Linked DNA regions of Bombyx mori. The protein of the gene in region 2 purifies or fractionates together with the protein of the main gene of each other region. This does not show direct contact. Links are inferred from orthologs where the notes say so. Each region holds a gene or a part of one and is shown on either strand. Other genes may lie near its edges.

The links.
Region 1: the proteins of flap endonuclease 1 (region 2) and cell cycle checkpoint protein RAD1 purify together in Homo sapiens (affinity purification with western blotting; 3 studies listed by BioGRID). This does not show direct contact. The link is inferred for Bombyx mori from reciprocal best matches to the Homo sapiens genes FEN1 and RAD1.

The regions. Positions count from the first base shown.
Region 1 is NC_085122.1:11,571,173-11,573,539, reverse strand, and holds part of cell cycle checkpoint protein RAD1, read right to left. Parts: intron 1,223-2,367; coding exon 1,091-1,222; intron 1-1,090. UniProt on the Homo sapiens protein: Component of the 9-1-1 cell-cycle checkpoint response complex that plays a major role in DNA repair. The 9-1-1 complex is recruited to DNA lesion upon damage by the RAD17-replication factor C (RFC) clamp loader complex.
Region 2 is NC_085126.1:8,809,277-8,813,295, reverse strand, and holds the start of flap endonuclease 1, read right to left. Parts: upstream 2,880-4,019; 5' UTR 2,736-2,879; coding exon 2,654-2,735; intron 2,570-2,653; coding exon 2,504-2,569; intron 1,984-2,503; coding exon 1,780-1,983; intron 1,504-1,779; coding exon 1,358-1,503; intron 774-1,357; coding exon 606-773; intron 1-605. Other genes in the region: plasminogen receptor (KT), read left to right, coding at 3,645-3,725, 3,805-3,935. UniProt on the Homo sapiens protein: Structure-specific nuclease with 5'-flap endonuclease and 5'-3' exonuclease activities involved in DNA replication and repair.

The DNA of each region.
Region 1 (2,367 bases), on a different chromosome or scaffold from region 2:
TATATTTACTAGGGTGCCTATCAAAATTTGGCAACCTTTTAAGCCATTACGCATAAAAGTTGCGGAAATATAGTATAATTTTTAAAATTTTAATTTGCTTAAATATTAAATTAATATGTAAGTAGCAGACGATTAAATACTTGAATAAAATCTAGTAATTTTTAAATTTGTCATTTTGAGAAAAAATACATATTTTTTGGAGTATTTATTATAAGTCGTCTCTATTACTCCCCGGTGGTTGAGAACACTAACAATCGACGCATGCGTAATGGCTTAAAAGCGTCGCACAGCCGGCAATCGCTATCCTCGTCTAACAAATGATGTTACGCGCTAACTCTCTTTCACTCTACCTTAAATATTTATCATCTTTAACAGCCAGTAACCCTTATTTGCGGCCAGATTTAATTAAGCAACCATATATGATAATTAATAGAAAAAAATTAGCTTCAATTTGACATATAATTAATAAATATACGTTATGAACGTATAAATGTATCGAAATCATACCTGTTTACACCTGGCTGCGAAGAGGTGCGGCCAGGTGCGCAACGGCAACCGTGATTTTTTAGAACCTTCATATAAATTACCGTGATGTAGACGTTATTTTATTTAAAAAATAAATAAACGAAACTTTTTACCAAAAATCAATTAAAAATAATTTAATTAAAAATAATGGCGGCCAAATTTTGATAGGCACCCTAGTAAATATATATTCTCCTAATTATAAATAAACATAAAAATTTGGTTTTAAGCAAAAAATCGATGAACGCACCAATCCTGCAGCGGGATCTTAGACTAAATGTGTTATAAATATACTGAATGTGGTTTCTGCTAAAAATCACATGAAAATCAATTTAACTATAGAGTAGATTAGCTCACAGAGGGTTCGTTTTTTTTGTTGTTGCTTAGACGGCTGGACTAGCTCACAGCCCACCCGTTGCTAAGTGGTTACTGGAGTCCATAGACATCTACAACGTAAATGCGCCTCCCACCTTGAGATATAAGTTCTAAGGTCTCAAGTATAGTTACATTAGTTTGTAGTAGTAGTATAGTAACAATAGTAATAGTAGTTATAGTTTGAGATTTGTACCTTATTTGAAATAGCTAGAGCTTTCATGCAGAGCCTGAGGTGGTGGAGTTGATATTTGAGGGTCAGTTCTCGTTCACAGCTGAAGCTCTGCAGTGTGTCCGAGCACTCAGGCACTTCGATACAGGATCGATCCTGTACAATAAAAGAAAAAATACTAATAAATTTAATTGTTAAACCCTGTTAAAGTTTGAAGTAATATATGTTGATACGGTTACGCCGGTAAGAGTAACGCCATCTATCGCTAATTAGCCGAAATTGATGTCAAAAAAGCTAGTAATACCGAGAACGTTCGAGAAGTGTAGCGCCATCTATTATCAAAGAGCAGTTTTTTTTCTACCTAAGCTGATAGCCTTGAGGGGCTATTTCAGCGGAACCTTAACTAGTAGGTGAGCTCACGGGGCTCAAACCTGACGACGTTGCTATCACGAATCCTAGCGAGAGCCGTGCTTCGCAGAATCTACCACCGGATCGGAAACGCGACCCACTGAGAAGATCCGGCGAGAAACTCAATGGGCTGTGTCTGAGGGTGGAAGCACACATCGAAACGACTAGTACTATCGGGAATGTTCTCGATAATTGCAGACTTGTCGTGTTGACTATAAAAGCGTTGCAAAGATGACATGAAGGCAGTCAGTAATCGGAACTACTCGAAGCGAAACAGCGAGCGTATCACCTGAAGCGAAGCGGAAGAAACGAATTGCGATTTGTGAAATGTGTTTTGAATGTTCTAAGTGTTGAATAGTATTTTAATTTGTACTTCGGTGAAAGTTTTGTCTATTCCGAGCCTCAGAACGTAACAGTATCATACATTAATAATTTTGATTTCGACTTTGATGACCACGACCATTCTGTTAAGAGTGATACTGACGGAGAAGAAAGAACCTTCATTATTTATTTATTGCACTTCAGGTAAGAATTACATTGGCGGACCTTAATGCCTAAGGCATTCTCTAACATTCAACCAAAGGTAGTGCAGAGTAAACAGTTGTAGGTGCAATGAAAATTTACATATACATACACACATTCATACATATAATAGTTTATATAGTATCAAAAGGAATTATCATTAAGGTCATTCAAGAAGATGTTATTGTACAACAGATACTTTGATGAGAAAACTTCATTTTATTCTTAGGTAGGCAGCGGCTAGGCTCTGCCCTTGGCATTGCTGAAGTCCATGGGCGACGGTAACCACTCACCATCAGGTGGGCCGTATGCTCGTCTGCCTACAAGGGCAATAAAAAAAATAAAAAAAAGATTATTTTTCAGAGAAATAT
Region 2 (4,019 bases):
TATAAAAAAAAAGTCTTGATGCCACAACCTCCACCTCTTCCAGTTAGTATCTAATGTAGCTGTCTATATAAATCCAGACTATTGTAGCACTCTTGTAAAATATGTGATTAAACTCACCGATTATTTAACAACAATGCATTTGAAATTTTTAGAGGGAACTGTTTAGAGGTTTGACATTGTGGCACATATATAACGCTAATTAGATGTAATAATTATCTATATGTCGGCGCAGCGCCAGGGATGGCTAAGCGGTTGTTTCCGTCATCACTTGTATTCGATTGAACTCAGTTTAGTCAATAAAACTTTTGAATAATAATTATTGAAACTCAAAACACACAACTTTCACAATGACAGGGTAAACCGACAGTTTCGTTCCACATAGCGACAGACCGACTGACTGACTGCCAGAGACTCACTGACTGAGACGGACGGACCGTCCGATACGGACTGAATGACTGTCTGATACGGAATGCCACGACTCTTTTTTTTTTCCTTCCTAAGCTGGTAGCCTAGAGAGGCTATTCCAGCGGAACCTTAACTAGTAGGTGAGCTCACGGGGCTCAAACCTGACGACGATGCTAACTAATGAAAATGTGTTAATGAACCTCATTCTGTTTCAATTCCAATCCCTGTAGTACATTATTTAAATGGAATTCTTGCACGGGCATTTTCCTTGCTTCAGAAAACGTTAAGTGTCTCAATAGCACTGGTGCACCAAAGGTTAGGGCATCCATATCTTCTGTGGCTGCTGCAAAAACTTTACCGGATTTTACCTGTAAGTATTTCTTGTGTTAAGAAGTAGGTAGTATCATAGTACAGATAGTTAATTTTTTCGTAGTGGCTTGAAGATTAAGACGCTCATTGCATTTGTATCAAATCAATATATCTACTTAGTTACTGGTGGGGTACCACCACCCTCTTTATTTCTGCCATGAAAAGAGTTTCTGTTTGATGGATGGGGCATTGTTAATCTAACTATAATACTATAAATACTACTAAATTATAAATCTGAGACTTAGAACTCATGTGTCAAGGTGAGTAGCAGTATTTACGTTGTTAATGTTTATAGAGTCCAGTGACCACTTTAGACCATGTGGGCCGTGAGCTAGTCCATCCATGTAAGAAAAAAAAGCAATCATTTCCCAAGTCATCATTATTGTCAATTTATTACATATGCTGCATATTGTAAGAACATGATGCTGCTGGAGCTTCAAGCACAATTATTTATACACTGCATATTTTTTCAATAGTTTAAGAGATTGGTACAGTCAAAATCATTGAAGAGCATAGTTTTACAGTTAGTAGTGTCACTAGTAATTAAGTACATAACTTGATGAATATATAAAAGACTACATACAAGAGCTGCACACTGGGCTTCAGCCTCACAGGGTGCATCAACAACCGGGACACCCATCAATTTGAGGAGTTGTTTAGCCTCTTCACTGTGTTGTTTTGTTACTTTAACCAAACGTCTGTTGAACTTGTCCACTGAAGCTGTGTCACCTGAAATGTTTTTATGTTTTTGTAGTTTTAAATTTTATGCTATAAATGCGAAAATCATTAGGTAAGGAAGTTTCAGGATATTTCAATATATGTTTTTCACTCACAAAACAATGACAAAAGGTAGATTAATGCTTAAATTACAATTTACTTTCGTTTTATTACAATTTACTTTTGGACACTTGCAACTTTTGGTCACAAACAGACAACTGCCTAACACAAATGTACCATGTGTTGTTATTTGCAAAGTTTCCAGAGTAAATCATAGAACAACCTTACCGGCTTCAGTAGCTTTTTGCAATTCTTTCTCTGCTTCCTCTCTCCTTTCTGCTCTCTTATTCAACTGATGAGCCTTCATGTCTGGAGGTTTCCCGTCAAAGACATACACTGGTTTAATCCCATTTTCTACCAGTCTTATAGTACGGTAAAATGTACCCATCAGATGTGATGTAGTCTCTCCGTCTACAGAGACTAGTTGGGCTCCTAAAATAATTAATGAGTAATTTGTGGTGCATTTCCTATCAAATTATTGACAAAGACTTTTATTACTAGTCAATGCTTAGGCTACTAAGGAATAGGATGGAAAAAAGTAAGATTCATTAAAAACTTAATGAAATAATGTGGCTACTAAATGAAATGTATTTTTTCAAGCACTATGTGATATTACAGTTTAATCTTATATATATTTATCTGGGATATATTAAAAATAGATGAGTGGATACTAAACAAAAATTACTATAATTAATGAATTTGATTAGTTTGAAGTTGCTTTTGTTGTCGTTATTAATCTTTTAGAAAAATCTTTATGTAAATAATGGCATACCTATTATTATTGTTTGTGAAAACCATAATTTCACCATTATGTTACATTATTAATATACTCTTACTTTATCTTTTATCAAGAGTTTTCATAACGATCTAATAAGAAGACCACCTATACCATATCTCAACCAACAAAATTCTTACATCCGCAAAGAATTTTATGAATCAAAACATTACTTACCTTCACTTCTTACGGCGATAAGGAACTGATATAAGCTCATAGAAGCATCAATAGCTATTTTTCTTCCTGAGAATACGAAAAAATAGTATTTTTTATACACGAGGCTTATATCTCAAGAAATAAGTATAATTTATGAAGTGAATGTCTTACCAAAGTAATTTTTGATTTCCATTTCTTTGACAGCATGAGGTGCTATGTCAGCAATTAACTTAGATAAACCTAGAATACCCATTTTGATTTGATTCAAATAACTTTAACTAATTTTACAGTACTATTCAATACATCATATAAATTTAGCGGGAGTTTTGACATAGGTAACACAAGCTGCAATTTGGACAGCTGACATATGTACCAGTTTCTTTGTTGATTTTTTTTAGGTGTAGGTTTCATACTTCAGTGGTTTTAGTATGACAATACTGTGTGCTATGAAAAATGACAAAGAGTGATACGAAATGCAATCAATTCATTTGAATTTTTAATATGTTAGAAGCATGGAATTAATAAGTACCGCCAACTAAAATAAAAATACTAAACTAAAAATTACTAATCTATACCTACTAAAGAAGAAAGAAAAAGAAGAAGAAGAAACTAGATGAGGTAATGCGACAAAAAATTAAATGATGATGATGACTTTGGTTAATAAGCTATGGCTAACATATATATTAAAGATTTAAGCTCGAAATATTCTAATAAAATTAGAACAAAACTAAAATAAAACAAACAAAATAAAACAATTTACATGTTTTCACTCCTCGCATTCCTAGCAAAAACTTCAATGGTAGATTTCAACAACGCAACCAACAAAATCGATTTTAAAGATTTTTTACACGATAATGGATAAAAATAAAGTAATTTAATTTTAGAACAATTACTTTTGTACGTCTGCGAAGATAAATTTTAGGGTATTTATCTTTTGGAATTTAATATTAATATTAAATTAATTTATTGCAGCTTTCAGTATTTGTATCCGTAATCTAAAAAACACTTTGCATTGGTTTACCTACCTACTCTGTAATCATGGCTATTTGTATTTGACAGTAAACAGCTGATAGATCTAGAGAAAAGACGTAGGTACCTACATTAGATAGTCTAAATTACTCTTTTGTTTTGTCGGTCTATCGGACACGTAAATAAAAGGATAATGGGTAATTTGTTCAGCGTCAGCATGGAAGAAAATTACAAAAGGAACCAAGAATTCTTGCAAACTATAAACAAAGTCAAGGTATTTAATATTTTACTGCGATGGTGTCATTATTTATTTAAAGCTGTTACGGTGATACACCAGTGATTTATTGTTACAGATGGAGAGACAAATACAACTACAATATCAAATGCAAGAACGCCAAATGGCCTTGGAAATAGCTAAAAACAGAGACACATGTCTGTGGATTACTGCTTTTTATATAACGACCGCAACGGGATTGTTTACAGGGTAGGTACTTTGTTTTTTAACGTACTGGCTGTTTTTTTTTTTTGTATCTTTATTTTTTGTTTCTTTGTGTTGGCAACATGATCA